4 linked regions of the Oryzias latipes genome follow. The protein of the gene in region 1 binds, or shares a complex with, the protein of each later gene. Links are inferred from orthologs where the notes say so. Each region holds a gene or a part of one and is shown in the gene's direction. Other genes may lie near its edges.

The links. The genes of interacting proteins can lie anywhere in the genome.
Region 2: upf3b (region 1) and eif4a3 share a complex: the UniProt entries of both Homo sapiens proteins name them as parts of the mRNA splicing-dependent exon junction complex. The link is inferred for Oryzias latipes from reciprocal best matches to the Homo sapiens genes UPF3B and EIF4A3.
Region 3: upf3b (region 1) and rbm8a share a complex: the UniProt entries of both Homo sapiens proteins name them as parts of the mRNA splicing-dependent exon junction complex. The link is inferred for Oryzias latipes from reciprocal best matches to the Homo sapiens genes UPF3B and RBM8A.
Region 4: upf3b (region 1) and casc3 share a complex: the UniProt entries of both Homo sapiens proteins name them as parts of the mRNA splicing-dependent exon junction complex. The link is inferred for Oryzias latipes from reciprocal best matches to the Homo sapiens genes UPF3B and CASC3.

The regions. Positions count from the first base shown.
Region 1 is NC_019868.2:9,735,313-9,739,475, reverse strand, and holds the start of upf3b (regulator of nonsense transcripts 3B), read left to right. Parts: upstream 1-1,359; 5' UTR 1,360-1,492; coding exon 1,493-1,603; intron 1,604-1,852; coding exon 1,853-1,959; intron 1,960-2,053; coding exon 2,054-2,160; intron 2,161-2,243; coding exon 2,244-2,342; intron 2,343-4,125; coding exon 4,126-4,163. Other genes in the region: ndufa1 (NADH dehydrogenase [ubiquinone] 1 alpha subcomplex subunit 1), read right to left, coding at 393-482, 559-660. UniProt on the Homo sapiens protein: Involved in nonsense-mediated decay (NMD) of mRNAs containing premature stop codons by associating with the nuclear exon junction complex (EJC) and serving as link between the EJC core and NMD machinery.
Region 2 is NC_019859.2:158,182-162,447, reverse strand, and holds the start of eif4a3 (eukaryotic initiation factor 4A-III), read left to right. Parts: upstream 1-1,457; 5' UTR 1,458-1,560; coding exon 1,561-1,714; intron 1,715-2,588; coding exon 2,589-2,661; intron 2,662-2,734; coding exon 2,735-2,801; intron 2,802-2,884; coding exon 2,885-2,947; intron 2,948-3,029; coding exon 3,030-3,162; intron 3,163-3,227; coding exon 3,228-3,308; intron 3,309-4,266. UniProt on the Homo sapiens protein: ATP-dependent RNA helicase. Involved in pre-mRNA splicing as component of the spliceosome. Core component of the splicing-dependent multiprotein exon junction complex (EJC) deposited at splice junctions on mRNAs.
Region 3 is NC_019874.2:29,126,851-29,130,858, forward strand, and holds the start of rbm8a (RNA-binding protein 8A), read left to right. Parts: upstream 1-1,199; 5' UTR 1,200-1,207; coding exon 1,208-1,268; coding exon of another isoform or gene 1,269-1,274; intron 1,275-1,788; coding exon 1,789-1,848; intron 1,849-1,927; coding exon 1,928-2,005; intron 2,006-2,571; coding exon 2,572-2,708; intron 2,709-4,008.
Region 4 is NC_019866.2:506,197-510,281, reverse strand, and holds the start of casc3 (protein CASC3), read left to right. Parts: upstream 1-1,276; 5' UTR 1,277-1,915; coding exon 1,916-2,107; intron 2,108-4,085. UniProt on the Homo sapiens protein: Required for pre-mRNA splicing as component of the spliceosome. Core component of the splicing-dependent multiprotein exon junction complex (EJC) deposited at splice junctions on mRNAs.

The DNA.
Region 1 (4,163 bases):
GATGCATCAGAATGGAGCGGAGCAGAGAGGTCGTGGCTTGTTGCTGTGCTGGCTTTGACGTCACACCTACAAGTCTTTTCCAACAGCATGTTTTCATCTGCTCTTGATTTACATCAAGATTAAAGAAACACTAAGAAACGCAATTTTGAGGCAAATTTTCTTTTTTATGTTCTCCATCATAAAGTATGAGCCACAAGAAGAACACCAAAAAACACAGATTATCATGGAAGGTCCTTCAAGTTTAGCATTTTCAAGGATCGGTTGAATTCTAAGCCCAGCTGCCGCATTGATAACCTTAACTACCAAATAAATTATTCAAATGTGAACTTTGCAATAAGTAAAACGTTATTCTATAAAAGTATTTAATTCTCCCTTTCAAAATAAGGCTTCACCTTGGAATCAAAGTAGTGACCCGTTCCTCCAACTCGTCTGTCTCTCTCCATCAGGTACCACTGCCACGGAACCCGGGCGACCCTTTTCTCCTACATCATGTCACATGGTGGAAATAATTAGTCGTGTAAATGCATTTTGAAGTCTTGGTTACATTTAAAGCATTACCTTTCCTCCGTTGGTGAACTTGTGAATTTGTATGGTGGCAAGACCTGGAATCATGAGAGCCACGGCCATAAGGCTCAGACCGGGTAAGATTTCATACCACATGTTTCTTAAATGTCACGATCAGGCGGATGATTAAAGATGCGAAGACAACTGAGTTGCCTTTAGGCGAGAAAATGAGCTTTATTTTGGTTAATGGCTAACGAAATGTCCCCGCACAAATGACCTGCGTTCGACAACCGGAAGAGAACGTTAAGTTCCGGTTGAAACATTTCAAAAGAAAAAAAAGTGTTTGCCACTTTTGCAAAACTGCAGATAAAAGCTCTGTGCATTATTGAATATTTTAGTAATGTTTTACTGTATATTATTAATACAATTGTAAATAAAATTGTACTGATAAAATACGGTTTAAATTTTAACAGAATCTTAAAATGTCATGCGATTGCAGGCATTTTGGTGTACTTTGTCCACACGGGATCAATTTCAATTTTTTTCTTTCGTTTTTCGGTTTACAGTGTACGTTTAAAATTTACTTTGTGCCGTCGAAGTAAAGGACAATCAAAACAATTAATTCGACAGGGTCATTTTGAGCTTTAATTTTGAAAATTTGAAATCATAAATCCCAATTAACTTAAACCCAAATTCACTTTGCTGTTGTTTCCTTTAGACAAAGTATTTGACGCGTAACATTAAAATATTTAAAAACGGAAACCGTTGAATTATTTCAATGTAAAATATTTTCTTGATAAACTTCCCCCAACATACACATAAAGTTGTTTCGGGTGGGTGAGTGCGCCCTCTACAGCCCAATGCCGGAATTGCATGTCTGTCAAATAGGAAGTTAGTACGCTTGCTACTAGCTGGCTAATTTTCTAAAAGGTAAACAAGTGTGTCGGATGAGTTGAGATTAAACTTCGACTAAAATTAACTTTGCGCCATGAAAGAAGACAAAGAAAACACCCGACCAAGAGAGAAAAGAGTGGACATAAAATGCGAAGATCTAGAAAAGACAGAGAAGTCTAAAGAAAAAAAGGAAGCCATGACAAAGGTACAATTTGCTAGCTGGGTTAGCTAATGTTGCTACAACCGTTACGTTATAATATAGATTCAAGAAGTTCAAAGTAGCTGAATGCGTTTAAAATGTGTGTGGGGTTCTTTTGTATGTTGCACAACTTATTTTAAATGATACAATTGACAACAGTGTAATGAATTAATGTTTTAGCCTAGTTTTGAATGAATAGCTATTGGGCAAATAATACATTTTAGTAGAATTTTGCTGTTAACCATGTTTTCCAAGATTGTGATCAGACGATTACCACCCACGTTGACCAAAGAAGAGTTAGAGGAACAGTTGCAACCCCTCCCAGAGGTTGACTACCTGGAGTTTTTCTCCAATGACACCAGGTGAATTTCTGGACCATTTCATGCACAAGATAACATTTCTTGCAATGTGTTTTTGTTTTTTTAATTATTTTCTTTTTTTCCCTTTAAATTCCAGCCTTTACCCACACCTCTTTGCAAGAGCTTACATTAACTTCAGAAACGAAGAAGATGTGGTCCTCTTCAGGGATCGCTTTGATGGCTACGTGTTTGTTGACGGCAAAGGTCTGAGGAGCACACACACACGCTTGGAACTTTTTGAGCTAACAACACATAGAGTTTGTGCTTAGCATTTCATTCTGAAACAGGTCAAGAATTTCCTGCGATTGTGGAGTTTGCACCTTTTCAAAAGACTGCCAAGAAAAGAATAAAGAAGAAGGACTCAAAGTGTGGCACAATTGCAGAAGGTAAGACTTTTATACCTTTGAATATCTAGTGGTTTTCTCCAACACGTCTGAAGTTTGAAGGTGTTTTATGCCCTAGTCACAGCTGCTCTTGCAAATGGGTACGGGTTGTCTGTACGGGGTACGCAGGGGTCCCCATAAAATAGGATAAAGATAAGATAAAGAGACTTTACTGATCCCAGCTTGGGAAATTGGGTAGTTGCAGCGTCAGCATACAGACTCAATTCAAACACACAAACAGAGGTGACAATCAGAAACAAAACAATCGGTTCACATAACAGCTCTAAAAAAACAGACAAATGAGTTTATCTATTGCAAATGGATGACGAGTTATAGAATCCGATGGAGTGAGGTAGGAATGATCCCCTGTAGCGGTCGCTGTGACCATGAAGCTGCCTTAGCCTCTTGGAGAAGGTGGTCCGCTGACCGTCCAGAACAGGTCAGGATTATCCATGATGGATGCGTGCTTTTTCAAAGTCCTCCTCTCCATCAGAGCTTCAAATGTGTCCATTGTGAACCAGATTACAGAGCCAGCTCTTCTGATCAGTTTGTTCAGTCTTTTAGTGTCCCTGGCAGCTATGCCCCCCCCAGCAGACCACCAAGAAGAACAGAGTGCTGGCCACAACAAACTGGTAGAAAATCTTGAGCATCTTGCTGCACACGTTGAAGGACCTTAGTTTCCTCAGGAAGTAGAGTCTGCTGCTGGCCTTCTTGTACACACTAGCTAACCACTGCTGTGTACAGATTTGTGTCCAGATCAGAGATGTCTCTGTGAGCCTGTAGAGCAAATATGTTCATGCGTTACATGCTGTGGGCAACAGGTTGTAGGGAACACTGAAGTAGGTGAAAGACAGGCGTGTCGCATAGATTTTTCATGTTTTCAACCCCACCAAACCCTGTGTGCTGTGCAGAGAGTCCGTTAGTGCTCTAGAAGTGAAATGTGTGTGCGGCGTACTTGCAGCCTGACTGTTTGGAAAAAAGAAATTAGAGCGTTTGTGTGGGTTTCCTCTGGGCATTCTATGGGCACTATTACGGGCACAGCATTTGTGGGCGGTTAGTAACGAACAAATAGTAAAAACATAAGAAAATACATGAGATTTAAACACCCTACCTTTTTGTGTTTTTGATTCTTTTTATTTTCCCAGAATGATTGCAGATGTCAGACGCTGTTTTATATGCTAGTTTGGTCTTTTTTTCTGCACATTGGCGCAGTGGTTAGCCTCACTGCAAGCCCCCCCCCCCCCCCCCCCCCCCGCTTCAAGTCCTGGCTGGGGGACCTTTCTGTGTGGAGTTTGCATGTTCTCTCCATGCATGCGTGGGTTTTCTCCGGGGTCTCCAGCTTCCTCCCACCATCCGAAAACACGCTTCATAGGATAATTGGTTATTCCAAATTATCCCTAGTTGTGAATGTGTGGCCCTGCGACAGACTGGTGACCTGTCCAGGATGTCCCCCTCCCTTGCCCATGAGTGGTCGGGATAGGCTCTAGCAGCCCTGTGACCCCAAAAGGGACAAAACAGGTTTTGAAGATGAATTAATAAATGACTGAATGAATAGTAATGAGCCAATGCGTGCACCTAACTAACGACGGGAGTGCATCGTTAGGACGCAGTACACCAGCATCGTTATAAGGCGCGTGCGGCATTACAATGGTACGTTCCACTTTCTTGACATCCCATAAGGAAGCGGCACAAGTCTCCAGGTCAACCACTGTACACGTGTTACTATAAGTCATAACCTTGAAAGGTGTGTGTCATTAACAACTTTGACCCTTTTTGTTGATGTCAGATCCAGATTACAAAAGGTTTCTTGAGTATTACAACGGA
Region 2 (4,266 bases), on another chromosome or scaffold:
ATCATTCACTCTGTGGTCATAAACGACACGGGACAACAGGTCCGCCATTTAGTGGATCCGCTCACCAATTCTTTATTCTTCTTCTTCTACTCTCCCAAATTTAACTTGCCACGCCCCCTGGTCTCTAGGGTAACCCGGGAGGGACACACCTCTCCCAAAATAAAAGATCCAGGAAGTTGGTTACATACGTCCACCCTTTCAAAAGAAATGTCCTCATTTCTACAATTTCTACAGGAAATGCAACAGGCCGGGGAGTGCAAAAAAATAAATAAAATAAATGAATTAAGAAATAAACATTCGAGACCCAATATGGCGTCAACAAAAGTCAACCAAACAGGAACAACATGAGTTTACAGAACCCACCGGCAAATTTCCCACCACAGGAGGGAGAGGAAAAAAAAAAATCTGAATAATAATACAACATTGCCTGCCAACCAACAGCATATTATTCAACAGAATCTTTCAAGGAAGGAAAACACAACAACATATGACAGTCTCCTCACAACACCAACAAAAATTTCACTGTGACATAACTCTGTATTGTTACATCCTAATAAAGTCCTGATAACGTGTTGGAGCACGCACCATTCTGCCACTGCGGGAGTGTGCAGGGGCTGTCCCAAACGCGTCCCTCTGACCCTGTTGGGGTGGATCACCATTATCTGGGGGGTCCAATGAAGTACCCGCCGAAGGAGAGGATGATGGCGGGGTGGACATACTGTCGTTTGGGGAACCAGCAGGCAGGGGAAGAGTGTAACGTTTTAACCTGTCATGATGAACAACCTGGGCCCGCTCAGACATATCCAGGGGGTTGACAATGCGATATGTCAAAGCGGCCTCTGCACCTGAAGCCAGAACCCGATCCACACGATAGGGACCTTTCCAGTGCGGTGCTAGTTTTGTGCGGCCCTCTGTTGGGTTATTAAGCCAGACCAGAGCACCCTCTGTAAAGCCCTTGTGGTGAGAGTTCTCATCATGGTACAGTTTCTGTTTCTCCTGCGCCTCTGCTGCATTAACCCTCGCTGCACTGAAAGCAATCTCCAGCCGCTCCACAAGAGACGACGCGTATAAAGGCAGCGTGGCTGCACTGCCAATGCCACCAACCCCACTAGGAATGAGAACCTCTGCCGGGGTCCGGGCTTCGCGCCCGTGCATAAGATAAAAGGGAGTAAACCGTGTGCTGGTGTGCTTGGAGATGTTGTAAGCAAAAGCAACAGATTTCAAATGGTCATCCCATTCCCCCCCCATGGGACAACAACATCTTGGCCAGCTGGTCAATTAGGGTAACCCGGGAGGGACACACCTCTCCCAAAATAAAAGATCCAGGAAGTTGGTTACATCTGTTTTAATTGTGGTTTGACACTTTATACAGCTGCCACAATATTGTAAACCTCAAATGTTTTTTCCAAACGAAAAACAATTGCTCTTCCGCCTGATAAACCTGGTCGCCTGCTGATGACGTAAGCAGAGCGACACGTGGAGCGCTGTTAGTAGCTAGCAAAGCGGTTACCCCCCTTTTGCGGAGACTACCGATTCGTTTTGAAGACAGACACGACCGTCATGGCCGCTGCTGGGACACCGGGCAGGAGAAGACTCCTGAAGGAGGAGGACATGACCAAGGTGGAGTTTGAAACCAGTGAAGAGGTGGATGTCACCCCTACCTTCGACACCATGGGGCTCCGTGAGGACCTGCTCCGGGGAATCTACGCCTACGGTAGGCCGGTGGATTCGAGAGGCCTCCGCCTCCAGATGCTAAGCCTAAATCCGCTGTGTGGTTCAGTTCACCTTAAAAAAGGAATGAAAACGTAGTTGGTATCAGACTACATCCCGTAATAACTTACATTAAAGCGGGTAGATTGGTGTGACCTGATCATTTTGTCGTTGGCGGGAAGAAAAACTTCATCTTTTTAGCCTTCATGCTAGCATGCTAAGGCCGCGTGCGGCCGCGCTGACATGAAATTAGTTTAAATTCGTGTTGATTATTTACTAAACGAAAACCAGATACTAAAATTTGCGGGTTTCGTTCAGTAATGCCTGGACACGATCTTTGTTGGTATTGTTGCTCGTAACAGTCATGATCCAGGAGTTAGACGGTTCCCATCCTATATGGCTTCGTATATGTAGCGAATATTTTACTAATTTCCCCCAGAACTATTAATAAATATATGTCAACACTTCTGTCTTAATGTGTATTTTAATTTTGTTTCTGTTCATGTGTTCTGTCTTCTCCAGACGGCAGAACATTTTATGAACATATTATCTGGACCCAAAAGGACGGGAGAAATCCCAATAGACAGAATCGATCAGATTTGTATCTACAGTAATATTGAAGTGTTGCACTGATAAAGATGAATTCTCTACATTTTCCTGGACTATTGTGCTTGAGAGGATCCTTCTTTACCCCTAAAACCCAGTTTCTCCATAGAAATCCTTTCTGTGGGACTAAAACTTTTCTTTCTGGTCAGCATCACCAGAACTTCCCACTTTGGTCCCCCTCAGTTTGAGCAGCATGGGAACTTCTCAGATGAGGTTTCTCTATGTGGAAATGAAGATGGACAGCACCTGACCAGGTTCTGGTTCTGTTACAGGTTTCGAGAAGCCTTCAGCCATTCAGCAGAGAGCCATCAAGCAGATCATCAAAGGCAGAGATGTCATCGCTCAGTAAGTCTGGGCTGGAAAACATGCAGGTGCTCTGGTCCTCCATGCTGTAACGTGTGATCTGTGCTGCATTCAGGTCCCAGTCTGGAACAGGAAAGACGGCCACTTTCTGTATTTCCGTCCTGCAGTGTCTGGACATCCAGGTGAGTTCTTGCTGTTCTTGTGTCCCGTGACAGACGGGCCAGAACCCGTTTGCAGCTCGGTGGTGATGCTGTTCCTTCTGCAGGTCAGGGAGACCCAGGCTCTAATTCTTGCTCCAACCAGAGAGCTGGCCGGACAGATTCAGAAGGTAGCCCCGCCTCCACCGCCATGTTCAGCCAAAGGCTTGTAAGGTAGAGGCGGCGGTGCCAGTCACGGTGTCCTGTGTGCAGGTGCTGCTGGCTCTGGGAGACTACATGAACGTTCAGTGTCACGCCTGCATCGGAGGAACCAACGTGGGCGAGGACATTCGCAAGCTGGACTACGGCCAGCACGTGGTAGCTGGCACCCCTGGACGGGTTTTTGGTGGGTTCAATGGGTTTTATGGCAAAAGTGGCACAAACGGGAATGCTGACGGCGTCTCTTTACAGACATGATTCGGCGCCGCAGTCTCAGGACCAGAGCTATCAAGATGCTGGTGTTGGATGAAGCTGATGAGATGCTGAACAAAGGTGAGGTCCTCTGCTGTTCAGCGTCTTCTGTACCTGCAAAGCAGCTCTGTCTGAGCTGAAAGCTCACCTGCTGGTCATCAGAATAACTCTGGCACCTTTGGTTACGTCTGAAATGTGTTGAAGGAGCAGGAAGGGTTGGTCCTTCCAGGTTGGAACCACCTGTTCCAGACACACTTGAAGGTCACCTTTCCTTTCAGTGGTCGTGTTTTCGGCTTAATGTGTCAGATTTGAAAAGTCCATTTGACGCCATCGGGCCGCGATGTCACCACTTCCTGTTTAGGACGTTTAAAGCAACACTTCAGTGAATTTTAACGGTGACATGGAGATGTTCTAAGTGAAGGTTAGGAAGAACCTTCAGCAGAATCTTCAGCAGAACCGCTAGCAGGGTCAGAACTTTAAATTCATGTCTGTAGTGTTGCTAGTGTCACTGCAGAGAATGGTTTCAGATTTCTGCTTTAACATTCCAGATTCGTGGGGGAGCAGAGCTTTTGGGGGGTGGGGGTGGTGGTCTCTGTAGCGCATGGGGAGGTCTTCATCTCACCACCACACATCTTTGCTTGGCTGTTGGTGTTTTTGCTCTTCGTCGCCATCAGATCTTTTTCATTCTAGAATCCTGGACGGATTTTTCTACGAAGGCTTGAACTTTAAGAGAAAAGTCTGGAAATGTTGACAGCTAGCTTGTGGATTTCACCTGTGGCCGGTTATTTTAGAAGGCAACTCCCGCGATGGGAATGCTGTAGTTGAGTTCCGGCGTGACTGCACTTCCTGAATGACCCTGGTCAGTCAAAGCCGCCGTCATGGCTGAAGTTCTGGCAGACCGTCCTAAACTACGAGCTCTCTGAGAGGTTTGGGGCCGGCCTCAGAGACGGAGATGCTTCTGGGTCTCAGGGACCAAAAATCAGGAGCAGCCTTTCTCCGGTTTGGAGCACCTGACATCTCTGAGACTTCATTTTCAGTC
Region 3 (4,008 bases), on another chromosome or scaffold:
CCTTACATGTGCAGTCATGCTCTTATTAGTAATAAAGATGATTCTGATTCTAAAACCTTGACATCAATATTAACACAGAATGTACTAATAATAATTATGATAGAAATTGCAACTCTAATATTAATAACAAGTATAGTCACAATTTTAATAATAGAAATGCTATCCCTTGCAGTATAATAAAGTATTTTAAATCATATTTTTGTTGTGTGAATGTTGACACTAATGTTTAAAACAAATGTATACATTTCTCATTGTTCTCATTATATCAGTGATGACACTAAATATAATACCAAGATAACAACAATTTTCAATTCTTGAAAATATATGGCATGGAAATTTTAACAATGCTATTAATAACAAATATATCATTAATTATATTGCATTAAATTGTCCACACTAAAGTATAAAAAATCATGATTATTTATTAATATCATGATTGAGTAAGTAAGTAAATTTTATTTGCATAGCACCTTTCACAGACAAAGATCACAGGTTAAAATATATATATATATATATATATATATATATATATATATATATACATATAAAAACATAAAAGATAAAAAGCACAAACCACGTAAAACAATCATCTCAAGCCCAATGAAAGCAGTTTCAGTTAAAATGCTTTGCAAAAATAAAAAGTTTTCATGATGATAAATGTAAATTATTTCATAAGGGATAAATTAGAAATCATGATTATTAAAACATAAATTATCGTTTAATATTATGCATTTTTACCAGTAACACATGTGATATTAATCATGAATATTATAATAAAACTCTGCACTAAAAATTAATAACAAAAATTTCATTTTCAAATAAAAACTCATTATTAATCTTATTATTATATTTGACTAATTTTATATTAATAAATGCAAATTTTCTTCATCTCCTATTTTTTCCCTGTGTTATTAATCAAACAAATTTAAATGTATCTCAGTAACATCTCCAAAAGTCTTAATCAGAAAGCTGCATGTTTGTATGAAAGTTGTTGAAATCTGAATGTTTTTTTTTATCTAAAACTCCTGTAATATGTATGCTACCCTGGCATATCTGAAGTTTACTTAGCAAAATTGTGTTTTGTATTAAACTTACTTACGTTTTGTACAATAAAGTTTAAAAAAAAATCTTTACGGAAGTTACGTACTCAGACTCTTTAGTGATTCTCCGTGCGCATGCGCTGTTCGTACTCAGTCAAACAGACATCATGGCGGACGTGTTGGACCTTCATGAGGCGGGAGGAGAAGACTTTCCTATGGATGAGGATGGTGACGGTATTGCGTTGTTTTACACAATTAGAGGCGGACGCACCGCAGTCCTGCCAGCCAAATAATGAAATTCAAATAGCCGCACGTGCGGTCAGAATCACGCTCAGCCCAGACTGCGTGTTTGTTAGCGGGCCGCAGCCGTGTTAGCATCCAGCTAACTCAACGAAAGGCGGTCATTCATCCACTTAGCGAGCCTCTCAGCGGGGGTGCAGCCGTCTGTGTTTGCGAGGGCCGCTTTTAAAATGTTAATTATTTAAACGGACTGTATTTTTCTCTGCACGTTAAAGCTGTTTTGTTTTCTATTAAGCTAGCGCTAGCATCCATGTTAGCCAACGGCTACATGCTGTTAGTGTTGCGCAGATGAGAGAAAAAACGTCGATTTAAAAATTGCACATTGTTCCTAAAAAAACAACCCAAAAACACATATAGTTACTCCATTTGAGAACTTCATAAACTAAACTCTTGTGAATTAAAGGAAACTGAAAACGGCGTCCTTAGGCTTTTATTCGTCTGTTTGCAGAAAGCATCCACAAGTTAAAGGAGAAAGCCAAGAAGAGGAAAGGACGAGGTTTTGGTGCAGGTGAGCTTTCAAAGCATTTTTCCCTTTATTTTTCTTGACTTCTTAGGGTTTGGTTTTGATTCTAAGTTTTTGATTCCAGATGATGGGGCCCGGTCCAGAGCCAAAGAGGACTATGATACTGTGGAACAGGACGGAGATGAGCCTGGGCCTCAGAGATGTAGGTGTTACAAGTGACCTTCATGTTCAGATAGAAGCAAATTAACAAGCTGTAGTCACACTTAGATTGTAAAAAATCTAAGATCTTTGTGTGTATTTTTTTTTATTTTATTTATTTAATTTGATTATAGAATAAATGGTCAATGTTGTGCTTTTCTACCTTTACTAAGCCACTAAGGGCTTGAAAGTCCCAGTCCCATGCACAGTCACAGCCTGTAACCCCCACGAGCGTTGTGGGGTTTAAGTGTCTTGCCCAAAAGACACGTCCACACATGGGCAGGCAAGGCAGGAACTGAACTTTTGATTGAAGGTCTACCTCTGCATCACAGCTGCAGATAACTAATTTAATTTAACCTAAAGTTCATTGTTTAAAAGTTATAAATCAGTTTCACGGCTGCGTTTTAATTTTGACCTATGCAAAAACTAAAAAACTGCTCTGAAACAATGCAGACTTTTACTTTTGAAACTGCGTGAATGCCAGCAGGTCAGGTAAACTCATCTGCTTGTCTTGGTGTGGAGACTGGGGGGTTTGGGTGTCTGATGCCCTGTTCCCTCCCCTCTCTGCAGCTGTAGAAGGCTGGATCCTGTTTGTGACGGGCGTGCACGAGGAGGCCACAGAGGAAGACATCCACGATAAGTTCTCAGAGTTTGGGGAAATCAAGAACCTCCATCTTAATCTGGATCGCAGAACTGGCTATCTGAAGGTGAGTTTAAACCATTTCCTTTTTCTTTGAACACATTTTGTATTTTAAAGACACAACATTTGGATGTCAAATGTTGCTTATGTTCCAATGAACATCTAAGCGGAAGAAGTGAATATTTGATCAACATTAAAAACAAGCATTTAGGCAGTAATTATCAGAGGGAAGGATGGAAGTCATCATATTAATGATGTGGAAGATTTCATTCAGTAGGATTTAATCATATATTTTATAATACTTGTAGAAAAGAAAGTTGGTTGCTAAAATAAGGCTGTTGTGTTCTCAGAACAGTTGCGTGAAGGGGTTAAGAGAGAGCCTGGACTGCCCTTTTGTAGCAGCACTTTAGTTTCTGTGAAGTGAAGCTGATATTTAAGAACAGTCGTATGAAAAACAAACTATTTCGGCTTTATTATTACTGAGGGATTTTCTTTCCGTCTTATTGGTGTTTGGCCGCCACTAAAGGCTAAAATGCTCAGTGTTGAGTCTTTGACTTTTCCACCAAAATAAAAGCTTTGGCATAATTCTGGTCTAACTGCACGACACAAAAATGGATGAGAAAAGCATTTGGGGGGCCGTGAGAAGAAGAGGGTTGACCTTTCTGCAGTTTGTTACTTCACGGTCTGCTCAGTGAAGGAGGAAACCGTCTGACATCTGCACTTTGTGATCAGAACTGTATTATAATAATTGTCAGATTTCAAAGGGTTGTTTTTCAGTTTTAAAACGAGTCTGAGGATACTTAAAGCCTGACTGTCACTGTATTTTCACTCAAAAAAAATATGTTTTTCTCTTTTGGTGCAGTGTTTTTCAACCAGTTTATAACTGGAAAAAAATTCCATTTCACCTAATTGGGCTAAAAAAATGTTTTCCGTTAGCAGGATATCAGTTCTGTGTTCATCCGAACAGACCCGGCTTTTCCACTGGAGTATTTAGAAATGTCTGCTTTGGTTTTATTGGTTTAGTTTAGTTTGTCATTTGCATTGTTTACCTAACATACAGTATAAACAATTAATTAAAAAAATAGGCAGAAGCATATGAAGCTTATTATATGCCTGTCCTTCAATGTCCAAGTTAATCAGTTTAACAAACCAAAAAGTAGGAAACAGTCCTTAATAAATGGAGACAAGTAAACAAAGTCCTTCTACATCTGTGTTTTGTAACCTTTAATATGTTTTAGACTTTTTTTCTTTTAACTGAGAATTACGTCATTTTAATTCATCGCTCAATTCCTTCCATTATTTCACGTCAAGAACTGAAACACATCTTGTCTTGACATTAGATCGAACATTAAACCTGTTCAAAATGA
Region 4 (4,085 bases), on another chromosome or scaffold:
TTTCTATTTTCATGTGATGCATATATTCATATATATATATATATATATATATATATATATAACTTATCCAATTTTGCCAACGTAAATGAATTACTTCTATTGGTAACAAGTAATTGAGTTAAATTTATTCAATCTAATTTCTTACGTCTATAAAACTCAATCGTTGTTTTTACAGCTCAAATTTACATATTTATCTAACTAAATGTCATATTACTCCAATTCAAGTAATTTTTTTTCCATCGTAATGAATTATAATTCTTGAACTCTCAAATGTCTAAGTTTGAGCCGGCAGATCCTCATTTTAATAACAATAGAAAGAACAAAAGAGTGCATTCAGAGTGCGTTCATTCATTTAGGAATTTTCCAACATTGTCAGTATTCTAGTTAACCGTAGGGCTGCTCTATAAACTCATCATCCTCTTCCTCCCTCTCACTCATGGTGCAGAGACGTAAGCATAGTAGGACAAAATAACTCGGCAAAACACAGTAAAACAGCTACACAACTAAACACATTTGGTCAAAAACCCACACTTAAACCCAAATCCGTCCAGACAGGCAAAGGAAATGGTAACCCACAATCCCTTGTGGTGCCGATCTAACAGCAGCACCAAAGTTACACCTACTTAATTGAATTAATTTGAATGAAAGTGAAATAACTGTCTGAAAACTACGTGTTATTTTAAAACTGACTTAAAAAAATGATTTATCTTAACTGAAGCAAATAATGAAGTTAGATCAAAGTAAAAAGTTTATCTTTCCAACATCCATATGTGGTCTTATCATCCTCTCATGGTTGAAAAAGTATTATCTGAGCTTCTTCATCCACTAAATCATCTTCAAATGGACACGCCATGCTGCTTCACCTCTCTGAAAACAAACTAACCTTCAACTAAACCTGCTCCAGACCAGGTAATAACTTTAGCTTGTAGCTCCGCCCACACGCGGCCGCGGCATCAAGCTTTAAAGAACAATTTCTAAGAGGCGGGGCGTTGCACCCCCCAACAACAGGTTAGATGACAGAGCCCCCCGGTCCATTAAGCGTCTCTGCCGTTCACGGAGCTTCAGTACGTAGAAGTCCAACAGCCACACGGCCTAACGTAGTCCGCTATTATGTATTCATGAGGGAAACCGCAGAACCGACCCTAAAACCGCCCAATCTGGCAACACTGTCTTCCTCTTAACCAATCAGAGAGATACTTATTTGAAAGAGGGGGGTCGTTCCCGCTGCTTGTCCGTCACACCTCCCCGTCCCGATCCCGCCACCGGCTCCCGCATCTCTGCCGCGTGTCCCAAACACACCGGGAGCAGCTCCTCTGCTCTGCTTGTCTGGTTCTGCTGCAGATTCGTTCTTCACGGTCCAGAACTCCGAACCGCCCCTTCACACACCTGGGTCTGAGGAGAGAGGCGTTCACGGACCCTCGGAGTTCACAGCTACTTGGAGGAGGAGGAGATGCTGGGAGAATGTCTGAGGAGGGGAGTGGAGACGAAGAGCGGGCCGGCCCGCTGGACATATCTACATGAAACATATCTACATGAGACGTATTTGCTGGTTATGACATCATCAGTCTGCTGGTCATGACATCATCAGGCTGTTTATCCTCAGACGTCACCGTTCCTGACAGCCCTGTTCAGGGGGACCCAGACCCCCTTGTGGCTACACGGTTCTGCGGTGGCTGGACGGCTCAGGGACCCACCCTGGATGATAGTGGTCACTCAGTGGGAATCGAACGCTGATTTCTGATTTCTGCTGGTTTAGTTTGGGTGAACCAGGATGTTTATTTCTTTTCTTTTATGAAGTTCCTGAAATTTGGAATGTTTTTATACAATCGCGTCCAGCAGGCAGCGGTAACCGAAATAAACTCTATTTCCCACAATCCTTTGGGGTTTCCGGTTCCAGCTTGTTCGGAGTTCTAAGATGGCGGACCGGCGGCGACGGAGGAGGCGCGCGTCCCAGGACAGCGAGGACGAGTCCGGGTCCGGGTCCGGTTCGGACAGTGGCAGGTCGGGATCGCCGGCTACGAAGGCGCGAGGGCGGGACGTGGTTCCGGAGGAGCCGGTGGAGGCCCGGCGGGAGGAGGCGAAGAAGAGCGACGTGGAGTCCGAGTGTGTGAGTAGCTGCGCCGGCTAACCCGGGAGCTAACGGCGGCTCCGGGAGGCGGCCGGCGGCGGTGACCCGGCCCGCTGCCCGGTGGGCCGGACCGGACTGGCAGCGGGGAAACGGTGGGGTGGGGGGTCATTCACGCCGTAGAGCAACCGCTTCCGGTTTACAACTCCCTTCAAGCTGCTCAAACTCTGAGAATGTCCGTTAATTTGAGTCGCGCGCGCCGCAGAGGGCTGGGGAGGGAGGGAGGGAGGGAGGGGGGGGGTCTGCACTGAACCCGGCAGAGGGCTTCCAGGGTCCTGGCCGGCTTTAGTCCGGTTCTGCTGGGTTCCGTGGGGCAGGTCCCGCTATGAGTCACCAGATAAGAAGCGGAACCGGGTTTCTGCTGCTTTGGGTCCAGTCACACGGACTCGAACCTGAGCCCAGAGGAAGCTGCTATGTTGGGGATTTGAACCTGCATCTCTGCTCCAAACATACACACGGCGCTCCTGCTGGCTGCATCACGTGACCAGAGATGGATCAGACGCAGGGTGGACTGCAGATCGGAACCAGCCTTCATATCGGCCCACATCCTGGACCACGTGATACATTCTGACCCCCCCCCCCCCCCCCCCCCCCCCCCCCCGTTCAGCAGCTGGCTTACATACACAGATGGGGGCGGGGCTACCTGGCCAGCACCAAAGGCACCTGAGGTTTCAGTTCCCGCCCAAACACAGACAGACCCCCCCCTTCCCCCGATGGGCTGTATGTGGGCACTGGAGTGAGCGATGATGCGTTCACACAACGCCGTTCTCGTGTCTCCTCCGTGTCGGACGCCTGTCCTGGAACGTCTTCATCTAGAGCAGTGTCTTTCAACCAGTGTGCCGTGGGAAATTGCCCTCATTCACTGATCTAAAAACATTTTCCATCTCCAGGATTTCAGCTCTGTGTTCATCCAAACATCCTGATAAAACACTGAGGAGTTAGGAATATGAAAGATCATAAAATACTTTTTTTTGCGTTTATTTTATTTTATTAAAGACATTTTGATAAGAATGACGCGATTCAGCTGCACCTTCGGCTGTATTTTGGAAAAGTCCCGCCCCTTTAACTGTCTTCACCAATCATTCTTGGGGGGCTTAATCACATGTCATCAGTCTGACCAATCAGAAGTGGTTAAAGTCTTCACTTCCGTGTTCTTAATTCTGCTCATAAAGTCACTCAGTTCTAACAAAAATACCAGCTAAAGCTCGTCTTTAGCGGTGTAGCTTTCCACAGAATCCGGTATCAGACCGTGGAACAAGTGAACAAAACCATGAAGCTCCGAAAAGCGATCTTTGGCCGTTTTATGCACTACATCTCCCATGATGCATTGGGTTGTGAGAGTGACGGTGCACAGGGAGATCTGTTGTTAAACGTCTTGAAACCAACGAACACACAAACTATTTTTAAATCTTCTAACTTAACTTTTATTGCATCTTTTAGAAAAAACAGCTGCAGTTTCCAGCTTTTTCTGCAACAACTATCTCAAAAATGCATGTGAGATTGTGGAGGGAGGGGCTGTAGATCAATACAGACTATGAGATTCTCCTTTTTTTTATTTTAATTTTTGGATGCTGGTGGGCCGCGGGATTTTTTTTAAGGTTAAAATGTGCCGTGGCTCAGAAAAGGTTGAAAAACACTGGTCTAGAGGCTCCAGCGGCGAGTGGGAGGAGCTACTGTTAAAGGACCTGGATGATGTTTGGAGAGCTCAGCGTTAGTAATCCCGCCTCCACGTCTGCGTTCATGACATCTCCGTGGTGCGGCGAGCTTCACCGTCTGCTTTATGGCGGCGCTTCCAGCGCTCCTGTCTCCGTTTGACGACTTCCTGTCAACATTTTATGTCGTCTCCATGAAACCGACATCCTGATGTTCAGGACAGCAGATCCTCCAGAAATCAGACATTTATCGTCATTTCCAGCTGTGCAACACGTAGATCGCAAAAGACGGCCAAAAGGTCAACAAA